5 linked regions of the Xenopus tropicalis genome follow. The main gene of each other region encodes a partner of the protein of the gene in region 4 in a complex. Links are inferred from orthologs where the notes say so. Each region holds a gene or a part of one and is shown on either strand. Other genes may lie near its edges. The genes, in order: camkk2, hdac4, cftr, ywhag and casp2.

Evidence for each region.
Region 1: the proteins of ywhag (region 4) and camkk2 are in contact, whole or in part, in a crystal structure (PDB 6Y6B), measured with the Homo sapiens proteins. The link is inferred for Xenopus tropicalis from reciprocal best matches to the Homo sapiens genes YWHAG and CAMKK2. Residues at the interface, in NP_036611.2 of Homo sapiens: Ser46, Val47, Lys50, Asn51, Arg57, Arg132, Tyr133, Gly174, Leu177, Asn178, Val181, Glu185, Ile222, Leu225, Asn229, Trp233; in NP_001257414.1 of Homo sapiens: Leu99, Ser100, Leu101, Gln102, Glu103, Arg104.
Region 2: the proteins of ywhag (region 4) and hdac4 are in contact, whole or in part, in a crystal structure (PDB 3UZD), measured with the Homo sapiens proteins. The link is inferred for Xenopus tropicalis from reciprocal best matches to the Homo sapiens genes YWHAG and HDAC4. Residues at the interface, in NP_036611.2 of Homo sapiens: Asn43, Leu44, Ser46, Val47, Lys50, Asn51, Arg57, Phe122, Lys125, Arg132, Tyr133, Gly174, Leu177, Asn178, Val181, Glu185, Leu221, Ile222, Leu225, Asn229, Trp233; in NP_001365345.1 of Homo sapiens: Ser348, Pro349, Ser350, Leu351, Pro352, Asn353, Ile354, Leu356.
Region 3: the proteins of ywhag (region 4) and cftr are in contact, whole or in part, in a crystal structure (PDB 5D3E), measured with the Homo sapiens proteins. The link is inferred for Xenopus tropicalis from reciprocal best matches to the Homo sapiens genes YWHAG and CFTR. Residues at the interface, in NP_036611.2 of Homo sapiens: Lys50, Arg57, Arg61, Lys125, Arg132, Tyr133, Leu177, Asn178, Val181, Glu185, Ile222, Leu225, Asn229, Leu232; in NP_000483.3 of Homo sapiens: Arg766, Gln767, Ser768, Val769, Leu770.
Region 5: the proteins of ywhag (region 4) and casp2 are in contact, whole or in part, in a crystal structure (PDB 6S9K), measured with the Homo sapiens proteins. The link is inferred for Xenopus tropicalis from reciprocal best matches to the Homo sapiens genes YWHAG and CASP2. Residues at the interface, in NP_036611.2 of Homo sapiens: Glu15, Asn43, Val47, Arg57, Arg61, Lys125, Arg132, Tyr133, Pro170, Gly174, Leu177, Asn178, Val181, Glu185, Glu213, Asp214, Lys217, Asp218, Leu221, Ile222, Leu225, Asn229, Leu232, Trp233; in NP_116764.2 of Homo sapiens: Asp137, Leu138, Ser139, Leu140, Pro141, Phe142, Pro143, Val144, Cys145, Glu146, Leu150, Lys152, Lys153, Leu154, Ser157.

The regions. Positions count from the first base shown.
Region 1 is NC_030677.2:162,455,152-162,459,045, reverse strand, and holds part of camkk2 (calcium/calmodulin-dependent protein kinase kinase 2), read right to left. Parts: intron 3,350-3,894; coding exon 3,150-3,349; intron 1,180-3,149; coding exon 1,126-1,179; intron 192-1,125; coding exon 118-191; intron 1-117. UniProt on the Homo sapiens protein: Calcium/calmodulin-dependent protein kinase belonging to a proposed calcium-triggered signaling cascade involved in a number of cellular processes. Isoform 1, isoform 2 and isoform 3 phosphorylate CAMK1 and CAMK4. Isoform 3 phosphorylates CAMK1D.
Region 2 is NC_030685.2:60,780,561-60,784,454, reverse strand, and holds part of hdac4 (histone deacetylase 4), read left to right. Parts: coding exon 1-10; intron 11-987; coding exon 988-1,236; intron 1,237-1,428; coding exon 1,429-1,615; intron 1,616-1,705; coding exon 1,706-1,839; intron 1,840-2,484; coding exon 2,485-2,590; intron 2,591-3,894. UniProt on the Homo sapiens protein: Responsible for the deacetylation of lysine residues on the N-terminal part of the core histones (H2A, H2B, H3 and H4).
Region 3 is NC_030679.2:68,497,005-68,501,487, reverse strand, and holds the start of cftr (cystic fibrosis transmembrane conductance regulator), read right to left. Parts: upstream 2,898-4,483; 5' UTR 2,752-2,897; coding exon 2,699-2,751; intron 1-2,698. UniProt on the Homo sapiens protein: Epithelial ion channel that plays an important role in the regulation of epithelial ion and water transport and fluid homeostasis. Mediates the transport of chloride ions across the cell membrane.
Region 4 is NC_030678.2:94,295,039-94,299,562, forward strand, and holds the start of ywhag (14-3-3 protein gamma), read right to left. Parts: upstream 2,934-4,524; 5' UTR 2,794-2,933; coding exon 2,707-2,793; intron 1-2,706. UniProt on the Homo sapiens protein: Adapter protein implicated in the regulation of a large spectrum of both general and specialized signaling pathways. Binds to a large number of partners, usually by recognition of a phosphoserine or phosphothreonine motif.
Region 5 is NC_030683.2:7,294,001-7,296,941, forward strand, and holds the end of casp2 (caspase-2), read right to left. Parts: intron 2,427-2,941; coding exon 2,280-2,426; intron 2,192-2,279; coding exon 2,082-2,191; intron 1,943-2,081; coding exon 1,808-1,942; 3' UTR 615-1,807; downstream 1-614. UniProt on the Homo sapiens protein: Is a regulator of the cascade of caspases responsible for apoptosis execution. Might function by either activating some proteins required for cell death or inactivating proteins necessary for cell survival.

The sequences.
Region 1 (3,894 bases), on a different chromosome or scaffold from region 4:
TATAATTGCTGACCCAAAAGGCAAAAGCAATCATAAATATGCCCCCTTTTCTCTGGTTTAACCAAAAGTAGGGTTTAATTCAAAATCTCAGGATGCAAATAAGCAAAAAAGACTTACTGGTCAGGAAACTCCAGTGGCTGATTCTTTATTTTGCTGTGTAGAGCTAGAATCCTTTCATCCATAAATGGGCACTAAAGAATATACAAAAATTGGACCAGCGTCACTTACAAGGAAAGTAAAGTTATCTATCTATAGTTATCAAATCTATAAAAATATGTATTTATAGAAACAATTACTGCTCTGGCTTTTTTTTGTATAATAGAGGAGAAGGTTGAATAGATGGGTATCTTATATCAGAGTTGAGTTTATTAGTTACTGTGTAGTACAACCCATTAACAATGTGGTAACCTTTTAACTCCAAACACTTTTATGGAATGCTGGCTTTTAAAGTTGCCACCTGAGGCTTTAACCTCAATAACAGGACCCGCATGGCTCACCTACACTCGTTATACCTGACACTAGACACCCACATCTAAGTGGCTGGCATTCTTGGCAAGGCATACTTAACACTAAGGGGCACATTTACTAAAATTCCTTTTTTTCTGGTCTTGATGTCATATAAACTTGACATGGTATAAATTTGATTTAAACTCGATCATTGCTGTATTTATAAAATGTCACGATAATGCTTAAATCTTTCGAATGAAAATTTCGAGATTACATTCGAAAATCCATAATGTTTTGAATTGAAAGCATTGTTAAAACTCAAAAAATGTGCTTTAACCCGGGTGAAACTGAAAATGAGGGGATTAGATTTTCCTTGAATTGGTGAAACTGAAAAAATTGAGGGGATTAAGTTCCCCTTGGAAAGGGTGAAAATGAAAACAATGAGGGGATACAATGAGGGGAACTTAGCCCCTTGGAAAGGGTGAAACTGAAAACAATGAGGGGATTAAGTTCCCCTTGGAAAGGGTGAAACTGAAAACAATGAGGGGGTGTAAAATTCAACCTGAATAATAAAATGTTCTGCGTACTCTTCATACTAATGTACATACTGTATGTTTAAAGTGGAACCATAATATTTAGTATGTATGTATGGATTTGACATGGCGGAGGGTAAATTACCTGACCAAATACAAAACAATTCAGAGTCACACCCATTGCCCAAACATCCAGTGCCTAAAAAAGGGAAAAAAAAGATAGTGTTAATGAACCTGCAATGTGGAACTGTACATCTGTCACACACTGAGCTGATATAAGAGAATCCGGTACCCATGGTAACATCCCTACTTGCTGCCTACATGTGAACTCTCTGCGCATATTTAACACTTAGGTAGCAGTTGGTTAAGCTGTGGGTACGTACCTCACACAGGAAAAATACATTTGTTTTGTTTTTAAAGGCTACTTCCTTCTAAATCATAATCACCGCAAAGTGAGCAATGATCCAAAGATATGGTAGCCACTTTTCTTTGGGATCGGTGGAAAAAATATATATATTAGGCAATGTTGACTGGCACATAGGACACTGGGAAAAATGTGGGCACAGTTCAGGGGGCATTCTTCTACTTTATGATAGAGAGCGAGAGAAAGAAGCAGGTAAACAAGGTTATAATGTCTAGAGAAGTTGATTAAGAAAGAACAGAAATTAGGTCCTTAGCACCCTAGTCTGTCCCTGACTCTAGGAAAGTATCTGTTCCAAGAGCAGCCTTGCTTACGTATTTTCCATAAGCCTCTTACATATGGAATGACAAAAGGTGAATGGTTTGTGTACAGTTCTACAGAGGGGTGAAGCAAGCCAACAGTATCAGTCTCTGGAAGTTGCACTTTTTCTTATTAACATTAACAGTCTGCTAAAATATAGTTTTGCTCTTCCTTATTCTCTTCCATATTAGCATCAAAACTATGTTTAGAAGAATGCCATTAGTCTCAGATTTATGTCAAACAGTGGCAGAGAAATTCCTAACATCATAGGACAGAAATTTTAATGCAATCATTGTTAAAGGAATTAAAGAACATGTAAACCCTACATTTTCCTACCATGTATATAAGTTGGGTACATCTCCCCCACCCAAATAACAGCATTTGCATATATCCCCTCCGTTCCCCAGCACCATCACATTTTCCTAGAACAAAAATAGCAGCTTTCACCCAGCGCCCATTTTCCATACTTGGTCTTGGGAACAGGATAATACCTGTGTCACATGTCTGCTTTCCATATGCTGTCTCTGGAATGTTGTATTGATTCTATCTGGTCTTTGTGCATTGCCTTTGCTTTATTATACAGTTACAGTATTTCTATCTACTAGTATGGTTTTAAAAGGTGAAGAAAGAAGGAGCTAAGCCCATTCTGTCAGTGAAAACTGTGGACTGGAGATCCAGAATTGTGTCCCCATGTTTTTTAAGTCGACTCCCCAAGATCATCTTTAATAATATCAAATTTCGTCCTATATTATATTAGAAAAAGGTGCATGACTGATTCTAAAAAAGATTTTGGGTCTCACAGAAACACTGCTGAAGGAAAAGATGTCTGAGGGTAGAGGATAGAGTAAAGAGACAATTCTCCTGTAAAAAGAGTTATGTGCAGAGTGATCCCCAACAACTGTCAGAGAGAACTAGATATAATAGTTACTTGTTCTCCATTGTGATAAATAAAAGCAAGCCCAGTTTCTACTGAACTTGTTGTGCCTAAAGCACTGAAGCTTTTGGCACCCAGCGCAGCGCCCTTTTGCAAACTGCGCACCAGATACACCATAAAATGTCCCCAGCTTGTAGACTTGTGCATAGGTTTGTGTGGGGTGGCATCTACATCTTCAGACTCTGATGCATTTATCTGAAACAGTATGTCAAAGCACTTACAGATCAATATACATATTTCATGCCTTCACTGCAGAAAGAGGGCAGCGTATGAACAGCATTTTGTAAGCCATGGTGCTTTAATCCCATCTATATCTGTAAAGTTGGTGTTAACAGCAAGACGTATCCTAGCAATGAAGCGTCAGTGGAGGTGTACCACAGGGTATCAAAAACAGCAAGCAAATAACCCAGTAAGCTCACATTTTAGACAGCTTAACTAGTAATTTAATAAAATTGCTTAAGAACAGACTGACATGTCATATTAGGGGAAACAAAAATCAAGCAGAGATTATTACCTTTCCTGAGAATATTTTGCGGGTTTCAGAGAGGGTTTCTGGAGCCATGAATGCAGGTGTTCCCACTGTGTTGGACAGAAAGGCATCGTTCCCTTCAAATGTATTACTGACACCAAAGTCAGCGATCTTAATGTGCCCATCCTCTCCCAGCAGGAGGTTAGATGGCTTGACGTCACGGTGTATAATCTTCTGATAATGCACTGTTGGGTTAACACATTTTTCTATTAACAGTAACTATCTTCTATTCAACAGTTAAGCTTATCTTTTGTTAATAACATTTAAACATTATTTACAGAATAAAAAGCATACTGCTCTTTTAAGAAGAATGTATGATGTATGATCCTACCAATGTTAAACTACAGCTCCTATCACTCCATAGACAGCTAAAAAATTAACATTATAGTTTAGTAGCATCTGACGAGCCATTATTAGCCTGTGCCTGCTCGGTACATTTTCATCTGATACATGATAGGACTCATTTATGGAGTGCAAAGGAGCCCTGGACTGGCAATCTGTTGATTTTGGCAAATACCAGAAAAGCTGCAGTAATGGGGTATAGAAAGTCACTACTTAATGGGCCATGGGGGGCTGTTTGCACCTCTGTGTACTTAAAATGCTCACAATGCAGAGTTATCTTTCAGAATTGCAGTGTAATTGAGTATGCTGTAAAGTAATGTACAGTTGTATGGGGGTCATGGCCATTCTGCAGTATGGGCTAAAGCTTTAAAATTTGATTGGTGCTCTA
Region 2 (3,894 bases), on a different chromosome or scaffold from region 4:
CCTAAACAAGGTGTGTTCCTTATATTCCTTATATTTATATCAGATATTCAGCATCAGGGAGAATTTAGATCCGTATAATGTAATAGTCATTTCACATAGCACACTCCATCAAATCATTATCATATGACTTTGTTGTTGATGTTATATATGGACCATTATCTTATCAGTTGCCGCTTGTTCTGTTGCACTTAATGCCTGGTATTGTCTGTGTGGGTTGAATTACTGCATCACTCCACTTAGGTCACTTATGACTCATTTCCATGAAGTCAACAAAAACCACAGGCATTCTGTTGGGACTTCATATCATTATAATTGTTATCAAGTATCACTGTACAGCAGAAGGGTATATACATCAAACATACTAATTACATACACATACTGACTGAAACAGTGGGAGGTAATGCGTGCTCTGCTCATTAGAGTTTTCAGTGTAATTTTAGCAGCTGTGTTTACATGTAGTACACCACATTCACTGTATTCTTCTATCTTCTATCTCTATTTTTTTTAATGGGTTGGGTTATTAAAATAAAAACTAAGTTGCATGTTGTTGAGGTGCTTAAAAAAAGTGTGTGTCTCTCTTTTATGGATAAATGCATTTTATGGTAGTCAAGTGCCTGCTTTGAGCCTGGCTCTGCAAACGTAGTTTCCATTTTTTAACCTCATAGTAACATAGTAACATAGTAAGTTGGGTTGAAAAAAGACATACGTCCATCAAGTTCAACCATAATGCCTATATATAACCTGCCTAACTACTAGAGGAGTAATTAAAATTTAAATTGGTAGGGCCATTGTAAATACAGCTATCTTTTCTTCCCAATTCTTGTCCTTTAACGTTGGATTTTTAACTTTTTTCCCATAAACTTCTGCTTTAGATTGTTGCTTATTGTACTATACTTTTTATTGATGATTTCTGTATATTCTTGAAACCTTGCTCCTACTGACCAGTCACTTTTGTTGCTAAGCCATTTTTCATTTTACCCAATTTAGATGATTCCTAAAGTGAATGAAGCCTCGCGGCAGCATGAGAGCCACCCCGAGGAGACTGAGGAGGAGTTACGCGAGCATCAGGCACTACACGAGGAACCTTATGCAGAGCGTTTAGCTGAACAAAAGGAACTAAGCCCTGGCAGTGTGGTGCATGTAAAGCAGGAGAAAGAGGAAAGCGATGATGAAGACAATACACTGGAATTGGAACGGAGTAAAATGCAATCTGACCCAGACCTGCTGTTTAGACAGGTATGTTTTTGCCACCTCAGAACTGCTATACGTAATTTTATGTGCATTATCTCAACATAATATCAATAATCAATGGATTTTATAATGAGGATATGTAGTGTCTTACTTTACCTTAAGTAGAATCTTTTTTTCAATCTTAAATCAAAGACCACTTTGTTTTAGAGGTAAGAAGTCCTCTTTCTTTCATTTCAGCAAACATTATTACTGGAGCAACAGCGCATTCATCAACTGAGAAACTATCAGGCTTCCCTAGAGGCTGCAGGCTTAGTTGTGCCATTCAGTGGGCATCGGCCTCTCTCAAGAGCGCAGTCCTCACCTGCCTCTGCGTCATTTCCCATGTCTGTACAGGAGGCCCCCAGTAAACCCAGGTTCACCACAGGTACAGTTTTTGTGATATAATTTGTATAACTAAAGGGGAAGGTTAACTGCTTAATAAAGATTATGAATGTGACCTTTGAATATTCTACAGGCCTTGTGTATGATACATTGATGTTAAAACACCAGTGCATCTGTGGGAACACAAACAGCCATCCTGAGCATGCTGGCAGAATACAAAGTATTTGGTCAAGGCTTCAAGAAACTGGTTTACGTAGCATGTGTGAGGTGAGCAAGTAGCCATTCATTATAATGTATGCATTATTTCTATGCCTTTATATATTTATTAGGGTCCCCCACTGTTTTGCTCAAATTATTTTTTTTCCATAATATAAGTAAACAAGAAATTTTTACCACAGTCAAAATGTTATTAGACCACCATTTACTTTAATCACTGCTTGGATTATGTCTGGCATCACTTATTTAAGTTGTTGCAGAATTTTTATTATTCCAGCAGTCACAGGGCATGTCTCGTGATGCTACAATATGTTTTTTTCTTCTCAATTTTCATATGGTTTCAAAGATTTTGTTTTATTATTGTTTTAGCAGAAGTAGGTTTGACTCTGAATGGGAAATCTGGCCTGTTGGAAGATCTAAAGCATTAGGGCAAAGGCACACTAAGCATATTGACTTCTTTCTTCCGCAGACGGGGTTAAAAGCTAACTGTGCCCTTGCCCTAAGGCTGGGACAATACCCTACACTCCAATCAGTCTACCCCTATAACTGCACCTGAAGCCACAGCGTCAACCTAGGTGCAAGCACCAGGAGCAGATTTTGGCGCCAAAATGCATGTACTGTGTTTCAGTACTGAAATAAGCTCCGGGGATAATTGATAGTTCTTCTCACTTGGATCTATTCCGTCTTTCACCACAGTGTATTCGGGGCAGAAAGGCAACCCTGGAAGAATTGCAGACTGTGCATTCTGAGGCTCACACTCTCTTATACGGCACCAATCCCTTGAACCGTCAGAAGCTTGAAGGTAAGACCCTGCCTAATCTGGTTTTTGCGTTTTCAGCCAGACTTCCTGTCTGCTCCGCTGTGTGTGCCTGCAAGCGAGCAAGTGCTGTGTAGATCAGTGGAGTGGCATACAGGATTAGACCCTCTTCTCTCAGGCTGAAAAAAAAACCCAGGCTCAAAGCAGCAGAGCCAGCGCTTCATGGAGCCTTACCCTAAGGGCAAGGGTACATAAGGATATTTGTCACCCACTGCACAAACAAAGCTTCTGAAAATACCTGTCCATTAATTAACAGTGGGATTACTGCATGTAATGCAGTGCTGTTGCGGGCGTGTGCCTTCTCCATTTTTCCGCAACCAATCTCCTAAAATTACCTCTCAGTTAACTAACATTGGGATCACGCATTTAAAAGTTTGCATACAGTGATCTTAGTTGATGGAGAGGTATTTTTAGGAGGTTGGTAGCCCATGTGTAATGCTGATTTCCTGTTCCCCTGTACCATCACCCTAAGAACAGGAAAAGTGTACCTACCAGGTGCCTTGAGGAAATCTAGTATATCTGGTGTGCATTCTTTAATAAATAGCCCTATGGTAGCATCTAAAATATTAGGGCAACCAGAAAATACAAAGAGCCATGCTATCTTCTATTTAGTGCCTTATTATCTTGTTCTTGGTTGCCGTGTTCCTTAAAGTGGCCATAAACCGGCAGATTTCAGCTTACCTACCGCTGGTCCCCCAGATGGGCCTACCCAACCAACATCTGGCCTAAAATTGGACAGGTTTGATTTTCCTGTCGGATCGTGGACTGCATCGGCTTGTTGATGCGGTTCTGACAGCCCATATACCCACTGTTTTAACCATGCCAAACAAGGAATCTTAATGTGTATGGCCCCCTTTAGTGTCTGAGGGACAGCACAAAGTGTGCTCTAAAATTTTTCATTATATTGAATACAATAACAAGCAAAATATGAAGTATCCATATAAATCTCAATAACATGAACATATAAATTGCCAATAGAAATTATAATATTAAAGTATCTGTCATTACCAACATACATATATCTAAAACTAGATCTAGAATCTAAGATTATGCAGGATCACGTTGTATTAAGCCCTTTATGAAGTGTTGTGGTTTTAGAGTATGGCATAAATTCTCTCTTTTTCTCTAACTTGTAGTAGTTCCAGAAATATTTTCTATTTTGCCCAATATTCTTTACGCACCACTTAACTTTTTGTTCTGAAATCTGCCCCATGTGTTCAGCAATTGCATGCAAATAACTGCGTTTCTCCACCTCCAACCCTGAAATCATTATAAAAGCATCAAAACAT
Region 3 (4,483 bases), on a different chromosome or scaffold from region 4:
GTAAATGTAAAAGATTCAGGGTAGGGGGCTTCCTCTCCATCTCTTTTCATACTTTAATTAATGGATATCAATACCTGGAAATACAATGTTGCCACACAGTAGAGTCACCATCTGAGGTGTTTTTAAAATAATAATCATAAAAATACTTCAGCTTGTTTGAAACGCAAGGGATACATTTCTTATGGTAGGAATGATGCAATATGAAAGCATGTGTATTTCTAGATCTGTAAACACTTTCTGGGTCAATAAAAAAAACTAAATTGTACATAACAAGTGTCTATTGGTCTGATGTTAATTTGATTATCACAAGGGTAATGATTAGCCTGGTCTATTAGCCTATTGAAGATGGTGGCCCCTGGGCAAGTAAACTCCCAGTATATGATTCTGTAACAATCAGGCTTTATAAGATGTAAGAAAGCATGATATATACATTGATACACCTCTCTTAGCCATTGCTCTGTGAAAGGGATTTGAGTCAACATTGGTTATTGGAATTTTTTAGGAGTCTACTCTTATAGAGACTTTGTTAGTAAAACACATGTTGAATTGCATTTACATTTTTCACAGTGCACTTTCTTTGTAAATAAGCCCTAATGGGCCACATGGAGAAAGGGGATTGAATTTACAAACTGGTTGTGACTAGGGGTATAGGACAACAAATTCTGCATTGGGGCCAATGTGCCTTTCATTACAACAATGCTATTAGTTTTTGTTTCTTACTCTCAGTTAACTGCTATGCTCCTTTATTGCCTAATAGCCTATGGCTATGTCTATGTAGTATGCACCGCTGTTTACAAATCACGCAAACTACAGTTTAACAAACAGACATAAACAGCTTGCTGCAATTGTCTTTTTATTTTGTATTTCAACAGCTTCAGTGACAAATGACCTTTTAGTCCATTTCCAAATATTTGTTGGCCTAAAATGATTTGCATTGACACTCAATTTTCTATATAATTCTAATTTATCTTAATAATTTTGCTGGATGTCATTTCTTTTTATAAAATGTTACTCTGCATACACACCCACATACACATGGTTGAATGAAATTAGAATAGGTGTCCCATTTAGCTGGCTCTGATGAATTTTGTAAAAGGTTAAACTGGCAGATTTTTAGGTAAATATGCAGAAAAAAATGGAGCACTAAAAATACAATTCCACAAAATCTGAGTTATTTCATGTAACTCGTGGAGTTAGAAATATAAGATCAAAATCAAAGTCCTTATTCCATTAAATGATAAGGTTATTCATTCTTTGCTTCAAATATGGTCACACAATAAACATCATAAGGCAGGTCTGTGCTATTTTGGTATTAAGCTTCCTTGTTTAAAGGTGATGTGTGGTAAGGCTAAGCACACCTGTTGTCCTCTGAAAATTCCAATTTCGCAAGCCAAGGCAAATGCACATAAAGGATTTTTGAGCCCAAATCCCATAACAATCAGAACAGCACAACTAATACAAGGACATGAATAAATCCAGCTGCCTGTTATGAAAATAAACTACCAGGATGGATAGAAATAATAAAGCCACTGTTATGGGACACACAAATCTTTAGCAATACCCTATCATACAATGAATTCTATTCAAATACTGGAATAACAGTGCACCTACACTGTTTTTTGCTAACAGCTCCTGCTGCTTGACCCCTGCAGTCACTATTTGATTAAATAACAAGATTATCCTTTCAGCCATGTTAATATTACAATGTGCCTTGCCTGTAAAAAATTTTGAGACATTTTAGTAGATGAGTAACAAGATTCCTGCTAACATGCTTTGTAAAACACATAGGTATATCTAGTAGCATGTCAGAGAACGACGCAGAATGTGTTCTTCAATACAGTACGTTTTATGCCTTGAAGTGCTGCTTACAATCTTTTATGTTATGGTGCATGCTATAAAAACCACCCAAAGCTAATCAAAAAACCATTTAGTGGTAGTTAACCTTAAAATTAACTTTTATATGGCATAGATAACAGTAATCTAAGGCAATTTGCAACTGGTATTCATAGATTTTTAATTATTTAAATATTTGGTTCTTCAACTTTTAATTGCCTGCTAGGGGTTAATATACTTAGCAACCAAAGTGAAGTTTTGAAATCAAAATGGAAAATGACAAAGTGATGGTCTAAACACAAAAGTAAGCAATATAGTTGCTGAGGTCAGTGACCCTGATAATCAGATTGTATTTTCAAATGGAGGCTAAGCCAAAAGGTTAGCTAGAATAGCAAATGTAATAATTAAAAAAACAATACTGAAGATCCTTTGAATCCACACAAAAAGTCAACGTAAAATTAACTTTCCCTTTGTAATGCAAACAGACGTAAACTGGTTGGGGCTACTGTAAGTGTGAAAGATAGGGTATATTACTGACAATTGTCTTGTAGTCATCTTTAGCTAATACAAGCAGTGCAGAAATATTTGCCATTGGATCTGTATTTGTGCAGGCTAAATGAAGCAAGTACAAGCAGTAAAAGTCCAAAATGCCAGCAACTGATTTATTAATCAGAGTGTTTGTTTTTTGTCCAGGGTAATAAAGATACTGCTAAATCAGGATCCTGAATGTAGAAGCTTTGAATGTTCCTGGCCTAAACTCATCAGCACCATACCATGGCACTGCACCCCACCAGAGTTAGAATGTCTCTGCCATTATTCTCTGTGCCAGTCAGTAACAGGTTAGCACAGGTATGAAGGAACTTACCTAAAGAAAATCTGTGAAAAGATGCTGGCTTTCTCCAGAGGGGATCTCTGCATGGTGACACAGTGCTGCCAGCTGCAGGCTTCTTGGCACAGTAATGTCACTCTGTCACCACTCTCGCACCTTATTCCCTCAGCCTGGTGAAGTCACTCCCTCCTTGACTCTGCCCAGGCACAGAGAGAGCCCAGCCTTTCATTCCTTCCTTCTGCTTTTCTCTCATTCTCCCTCTCCCCTCCCTTTCTCCGTTTAGGTAACAAAAAGGGGTGTGCTTGTGCTGCAAACAGAATGTGTTCTTTTAATAAGCTGAATTGTTTTCTCACAATCAGTACTGCTAAACCTCTATCATTAAGTGCATCGTATACAACATATTAAAAGCAATTCTGTACATACACAAGGAGTATATTATATATAATGTGCTCCTGCTGGCAGGATTTCTATATTTAAATAGATATCAGTTTTGTAGTCACCCCAGTGCTCCTGTCAGATGCTTCTCCCCTTCATGTGTAACAGAAATGCTGGCTATATCAACTTATTGAGAACATAAAGGTTGGGAGCACTAAGTACAGCAGGCTTGCAGCACTTCTATGCCGTGTTTGCCCCTGCCTTGTTTTTAATGTCACCAACATGAATTAACCCATGAATACTTAAGAAAACTGTCTCCCATCAGACCTTAGGGGAGTTGCAGACTTGTGTGCTGATGAAAGGTAGATCTGGTCTTTCCCTACTATTTTGGTCATTAACCTCTGGTGCTTGCACTTTATATTGCTTGAGCATAAGCAACAGTTACCTGCCCACAGAACTTATTAGTGAGGAGTATGACAATGTTCAGTATACAGAGCGAATCAAATCAGTCTCCTATGCAACCTATAAAAGTGTTGCTGCAAAAAACGTTACTTTAAGATGCAATGACCTTAGGAACGAACATAAAGGGTTTCCTGCTAAGCAATGCATTGTTACATAGTTATCTTTTACTGCACTATGCATTGCCCAGTTAATGAAGGAATGTGGGTTTGGATACTTTGGGCGAGATTACATTCCATGAGAAAGATTTATCTCTTTATTCTGTTCTAGTTTTCACCACAGAAAGAAAGGGAATTAAATTTGAAGGTAGTGTCATTCTATACAATTTTCCAATAGAATAAAAAACTGACATTTATTTTAAATGTAAACTTACAGAACATGCTAAGAATAGGGGGCTATAAGGCGTCAATTTTGCTTACTACTGACTGTTGTGAGCAAAGTACAATTTCAAGCACAATCGCCATGTCCCATAATGCCTTTTTTCCCAGAATTCCAGCATGGTTGCACACACCAGTAGATCTGACACAGCTGTGGCCAGTACATCAAAATTACTGCAATTACACTTAATTGCAAATCAGTCTCAATTGCACCAGGGCCTGGTTGATGTAGTTTCTGGTGTTAGGTGTGGGAATGACATGTGTGTCCTATTCTTTAGGCACAGATTGCACAAAAAATAATGGACATTGGGTGCTCCAATAATTTGCTTTTTACATTTTTTGTTAAACATTGGAGCCAATAAATGGTTGTTTGTTTCACTGTCACATTTGTTGATTATTTAGGCAGATTCTCTGCTCCCATTGACGCAGGGTGCTTAGGAAACCCTGGAGCTACTGACTGGTCTGGAGGTGACAGTAAGTAGCAGTGGAGGTGGCAGTAGCTCCAGGATTCCCTTGCATCAGTAGATGCAAATTCAAAACATGAGGCATGAAAGACTTGGCAGCACTTAGCGCAACTAAAAAGTGCTAGGAGTGCATGCTGTTTAGTGTT
Region 4 (4,524 bases):
GCTGCAAAATTTTATGTTATTTGTTTAATCATTTTCAAAAGCCATCTGATAAAATATAACAAATCAATTACAGACATCAGTTACATGCCATTTGTTCCCCTGCTGCTAACAAACTTGAATATATGCAGATCTAACATAATTCGCTAAAATAAATTCACAAAATAAATTCACAAAGGGTAAAATGAAAAAAAAAATCAATACTAACATAATGTCAAAAAAAGAACATATATCCACAATACAAATACAGTGGAATATATACAATATATATTTGTTCTTCCATTATAACTAAGAGAAAGAGTGAGAGCTCGTTGGCAATATGGTGGAGATTCAGTGCCTGGAATCACTGAAAATCCCTACAATCAAGTATAAAAAATAAATAAAAAGGACTTTGCCATCCTTTTAAACAATTGCCTTTTTCCCCCCTCGATTCCCCTCCCTCCTTTAACCAGTCCAGCCTCTCTCTGCAATATGACAAATGCAGAATCTTCTGGAAGGGCTGGTACTGCCTCCCACTACTGCTTTGTTTCACAAAGATCACATCATAGGCCAGATTTTAACCCTGTCTTTCTACTTATTTCCTAAATATTTTTTTTAAATCATTTAAATACAAAATAAATTGATTTAATATAAAAGGAAAGCTCACAATGCCTGCATGTTTTCATATACCAGGTAATTCTGCATGAAAACAGAATATAGTCCTACATAAAAATAATTTTCTCTGTGAAACCTTAATTATGCATTATTTTATTGAAAAAATACCAGATTAACTACTACCAGCAATGTCCCCCCAAGCAGTTCTTTGGACTGTTGAACTACAAATATTAGCTAAAGGAAATGGGACCTGCATTTCAACAGCAGGAGGGCCACAAGTTTGACAATCCTGTTTTATGACCATTTTGTATTGGAATAAATACAAGGTGGCTGATGCCGGTTTTAAGATGAACACTACTAGGGATCGGATCCTGAGCCAGAATTCAAGTCTGCATGGAGGCTGTACACATTAATGGCAGGTGATAACATATGTTGGAATGCCCTAAGATGTATGCAATAAAGGCATTTTAAACAAGAAATACAAAAAAAACTATTTTTTGTCTGTATATGCCGATGAGAAGTGGCCATTGGAGAACCTGCACTAATCTAAAAGAAATCCAAGGTATTGTGCTGACTACTACTTGCAAATATGTTCAGATGATCAAAATGCCCCAATTTTGATCATTTAAACATATCCTATCACCTGCCTTTAATGTGTACAGCCTCCATGCAGACTTGAATTCTGGCACAGGACACAACTAGTTCTAGACAACTTCAGATAGAAAGTTAATTCATATTCCATCTTAGGACTTATAATTATGCGCACATGCCATAGTAACACTATGTCCCAAGTGTCATAACTACAGAAAATAACTGTAAGGATGAAGATAAGGGAGGGATGAAGGGCTATCCCAATTTTCTAATGTCTACTCCACAGGCCCCTTGTCTGACAATACAGAGAGGAAGCCCAACATGCATCTCTTCAGCAGTTGCTAAGCGTCACCACCCCTCCCTCCCAACAGCCAAAGTACATACATGTACACTTAGGCATTCCCCCCCCATAGAATTGCAATGGATTTATGGTGTTCCCTTTCTAGGGCCCAAGGGTAAATGCAGAAATAGCTGCTGCTACCATTAAAAGGTTTGTCTGCAGATGAGAAGTGTCTTTATAAGTCACAGATACCCTGTGTGAGCAGCAGCATTTATTTGACCTATAACTGAAATGATTTTACAACCAGGCCAGTGCAGTCCCACAGAAGCTGAGAGGATGCAAGTCTGACATCCCTGTCACAAGGTCTCCAAATGTTACCAGTAGCAGTAAGAATGCAGCAAATTAGGAGAATCTGGGAGGGGCCATGGGAAGATATTCCTGGGCAACCCCCTCACAGTTATCATCAAGGCAACACAATTCCATTGTGAATAAATGATGTTCTACATAGGCGTCTAATACATGCCATGCCTGGATACTGGGAAACAGCACAATGACAGGAAACACAACTATGCCTCAATACCTTTTATCCATTCTTAACCAAAACTACATTGTTGACTAATTGGACTATCCTAACATTACTGAACTACAAATCTCAGCATTACTTGATGTTCTCAGCTGGAGAGTCAGACTGTAGATGCCCGCTGCACACTAATGCTTCTAGGGAAATCCCTTACACTTTCCTAAAGCAGGAATGGGCAGCGTAGTCCAGCCAACAGTGGCATCCAGGTGGATAGTAAGTGATAGATCAACTGGAGGGCTGATAGATAAGTGACAGATCAGCTGGAGGGCTTATAGATCAGTTGGAGGGCTGATAGATAGATCAGCTGGAGGGCTGATAGATAGATCAGCTGGAGGGCTGATAGATCAGCTGGAGGGCTGATAGATAAGTGACATATCAGCTGGAGGGCCGCAGGTTGCGCATCCCTGCCTGGAAGTGCATGACTAAAGGTCAGCTGTTTGACAAGCGGTAAAAAGGAAAATGACAGGTTGCAATATCTATATCTATCCATCTATATACAATCGGTAAGCTTCCCTACATGCCCACCTCGGAACCACATGGAGATACACCTCTGCAGATGTGTCCATAGTACAAATGCATTGATCCCTTATCATAGTAATAAACTGATGAACAACTATGAGGTCGGCCACACACATTCCCTCCAGCTCTCAATCATCGCACTTACGGCTTTCATAGCAGCCGCCATATCATCATAGCGCTCAGCTTGCTCCGCCAGTCGGGCTTTCTGCACCAGCTGCTCGCGGTCCACCATGTTGCTGAGTGCGAGACCGTGCGAAGAGAACGTGCGGATGGGTTCGGGGCTTGCGACTCGCACTCGACTGCAGCGGAGACAGCGCAGAACAGATGCAGAGGCTGGACCAAGGCAAAGCCTCCTTAAATGTCAAATGCGTCTTTACAGCTATCTGCAAGTCTTCCTCCTCTCGCTGTCACCTACTAGCAAATAACGGCTGCTTGCCTATCTAGCTACTACCCAGTCTGTAGCACCTCCAGCGACTGCCTCACTCCAACTCCGCCTCCCAGCCTATTGACGTCACTTGGAATAAATATAAGTCCCGCCTACTTGGCGCCGTCACCCACCGTACAAGGGCAGCAGTTTGTGCTTCGATCACTAAAAGGTCTTGGTTGACTGCGGGGCGGTGGTTCCAGGCAGAAATAGTGCGGTACAGGGTGGCAGGGTAGATCCGCATGGTTTGATGGGAATCGTAGTTTTCTTAGGCATGCGGTACCGATGTGCATGTAGGGAAACGCCTTGAACAAAAGACTACGTCTCCCTCCTTGCTCTCCGGCTTCTAGTCGCTTATCGCCTGCAGTGATATTTGGGATATCTCCAATTTGATATTGTCAGTAGCTGCTAACTTGAGAGTTTAACGGTAACATTTATCATAATCTTGTTCCAAATGGGTGTTCTGTTTTGTTAAACGCTGAATGGTGTACCGGGAATCCAATAAATCTTCATAGTTCCATCAGCCTGACCTGACGTGATACTTGTCCTGTTACTCTTGGGTGCCTTGTAATATTCACACAGGTAGAGTCATTCCATTGTCAGAACAGTTCAGAATGTGATAGGCTCGGAGGCCTGCATTCTGGCTGGTACATGTTTACTTGGCACAAACTTTACCAACAGTTTAAAAGCTTAAACTTTACTGTCACACCCTGTGACTTGGAAAAGCCTTTATGGCATTTGAGTTAACTATACTTTTCTGATAAGTACTAATTGATGCTATGCACAGTTAGGGTTGCCACCTGGCCAGTATTTTGCCAGCCTGGACTGTAAAAATGATGGTCCATGCCAAGTTTATAAATAGAAAATTAGATTAAACTATAAGGAGGCGGGTATTTCTTCCCAGAAAGGTGGCAACACTATGCACAAATGAATACAATATCAGATTGTATACTATGGAACATTCCATCTGTTGTGACAGAGGCTTCTAAGCATCTGGGTGACTTCACAGTCTAAAGCGTTTCATCTGTTGCAACTGGAGGATGTTTCAACAAACAAAATGCTCCAGGCTGTGACATCCTCCCGGTGCCACCCTGCTGGGAGAACACGCTGCAGAGATGCCACCTGTTTACAATTCACAGATTGCTGAGAAGGGAGAGAAGACTGGTGCTCAGGATAGACTTTTTAGAAACAACATATATGTTAGAGCAATTTTAGTAAGAGTAGTTTTTTATTAAAATGTTTACACTATGTGGATTTTGCCTATAAACCACAGTTGATCAAATAAAGGAGCCTGTCTGGTTTTGAACCAGAGAGCCCAGTTTTTCAAGAGCAATCAGTTTCAAAACTTTCTATCCAGGGTTTTAATGTTCTGAAAACTGGGCAGAAATTATGCAATAACCCAGCATCAACATCACAGCATCATCCCCAATGTGCTAGCTCTGCCCAAACTTTATTGGCCTACCCTTTTGCCCAGTTTTAGCCCATGGCAAGGGTGGCAACCCAAGTCACACCTCCAGTTCTGCTGTGGCATCAGCCTTC
Region 5 (2,941 bases), on a different chromosome or scaffold from region 4:
CCCCAATCAAACGATTTTTTTAAACTGCCAATTTCAGGCCAGATATCGGTTGGGCAGGCCTGTCGGTAGTGCCCATACACGGGCCGGTTAGCTGCCAAATTGGTTTAAGGGACCAATTTCGGCAGCAAAAATTGGCCCGTCTATGGGGACCTAAAGAGATCGGAAACAATTTCACAAAAGAGAGAATACAAGTTCAAATCAGGAGGCCCAGTTTAAGCAAATACATTCTGTATCAAAAAGCCATAATTTCTTATAGGGTCACAGTGACTTTCCTAACAAAATGTCGACAAGGAAAACCACTGTTCTTGAGCGGGCAGTCAGTGCCATCCCATGAATGGCCATCTTAGGGCATGCAGAAATACAATCAATGACCAATCATACATTGATCTGATGAGGTGACTTCCTTCAGAGACAGTTTGGGTTCACAAATCAGTAAAACAAGAACCAGCAATGCCCCGCAGAGCACTCTCTAAGTGGGATTTGTGAATTCACTTTTACGCATGATATACCATGCAACTAAAGCATACAGAACTGAGCAGTAATGAGACAGTTGAAAGAACAACCATACCAGTCTTGTAGTACTAAAAATGTAGAAAGAGAAAGGAAAAAAACACTTAAATCATAAAATAGAGGTTTATTGAAGTGCTGGCCTTCCATGGTATAATGGCGAGACACTCTACTGCAACAGGTCCCGCAGTGCTACGACAGAGTGATTGGCCAAGTATAAAATTTACAGTACGTGGCAGTGACAAATAACGAGACAGACCTGAGAGAGAGTCAAAGTGCAGCAAAATCATGATACTGGCAGGACGTCGGGCAGTTACAATACACAGAGAAACGTAGGGGTGTCCCAAAAGTTCTTCAGGAGTCTACCTCCTGGAGTATTATACTGCCATAGGAAATGGATCTTTGAAAATTACAGAATACACACGGCTGACATTAGGTTGAGTGGATCCTTGTTTAAAAAAACAAACAAACCACTGGCTTGATCTGAAGGGATCCTGGAACAGAAGAAATCCTCTGGATTAGAGAATACACATCTCCGGCTTTGGGCTGAGGGGATCTTGGGATAGCGGAATACATGCCTCCAGCTTTGGGCTGAGGGGATCTTGGGATAGCAGAATACATGCCTCTAGCTTTGGGCTGAGGGGATCTTGGGATAGCGGAATACACACCTCCGGCTTTGGGCTGAGGGGGTCTTGGGATAGCGGAATACATGCCTCTAGCTTAGGGCTGAGGGGATCTTGGGATAGCGGAATACACGCCTCTAGCTTTGGGCTGAGGGGATCTTGGGATAGCGGAATACACGCCTCTAGCTTTGGGCTGAGGGGTTCTTGGGATAGCGGAATACATGCCTCTAGCTTTGGGCTGAGGGGATCTTGGGATAGCGGAATACATGCCTCTAGCTTTGGGCTGAGGGGATCTTGGGATAGCGGAATACATGCCTCTAGCTTTGGGCTGAGGGGATCTTGGGATAACAAAATACACATCTCTGGCTCTCGGCTGAAGCAATATAAAAAAAACATTATACCCACTGCTGGGTTTTGGCTGAACGGATCTCAGGCAGTGGCTTTATCTTACTTATAATATGGTCCAAAATACAGTCTTTGGAATGGAAAGACATCTTGTTCAGGCAAACGTCTGCAACACCAGAAACGGTAAGGAATTTTAAAAAAGTAAAATGATCACAAATATGGAAGACGAGCAAAAAACATGTAAATCTTCTGTAAAAATAAACCATTTATATTACATTAAAAAAAAATGTACAAAAGAAGTGGCTGGTTCCTGGGCAGTAATGCCGGGGGAATCACTTGGGGGGCCCAATGCCAGGGAAGAGATACAGGTCACGGCACAATGTGCTGCAATATTCTGACATCTCTTTGCACCGGTGGAACTCAGTGCCGGGAGCATGCCCCTCGCGCTCCTTTATAAGTGCATTCACCTGAAATGAGACATATCAGTGAGAGCCTAGAACAGGAAGGTGCCTTCTGAACCAAAATTTTCATTGGCAATTTTAGATCAACAACATCTGAAGTGCCACAAAGCATGTGGGCCTTGCTACAAATGAAGCCAATACACACCTTGACCAACATGTCGGCTACATGAGTGTTTTTGGAGTACTGGGAGAACACAGAGACGAGATCCTGCACAAACCAGGAACCTCGCTTGGTGTTACGCAAGGACACGGTGCCTGGGGAAATAAATGAAGAATAAGCAGTAGAGAAATACTATTAAACTGCAGGAGCCAGACAGGGGCCCCAGCACAAACAAGAATTTACCTTTGAGACAGGCATAGGCACAGATCATGTCTGACTGTGTGGGGAGCCGGACTTTTATGTCCTCCCTGCCGGCATCGCTCTGCTCGCAGCCTGGAGAAGCCGACTGCTCTCTCCCATCCCGCTGATCCACCCCACGGTCAGCCTCCTCTGGAACACAGAGATAGGAGTTGTAACAACAAGATTCCATGGGCACCAACCAAGTCCCATAATCCCAAGGATAGCTCCACTGTGGTCATTAGTCACAGTCTCATAGGTATTGGCCAGAACTGGGATAATGATCAATCGTTACAGAAGGCAGGAATCCAGGAGTCAGTTGCTATCTTAAACAAACAGAGGGAGCTTCTATGGCTGTTTACTCAGGTATGGTTATGCTTTCTGCAGAATAAATATACCATATATACACTAGTATAAGCCGATCCGAATATAAGTCGAGGTACCTAATTTTACCTAAGAAAACGGATATGCTTTCCTATACCCAGACAGGCTTTGCAGCGCAATAAAGCTAATGAAGCGAATACGAGCGGGAATAGGGGTCTTGTGCAGGTCAGGCTTTTTTTTATTTTTAAAAAACAGCGTTTATTTCTCCTGACTCAAGTATATAGGTATTGGCCGGAACTATGCACCATGACTACCCTACACTGACAGTAACGAAGGGGTAACAT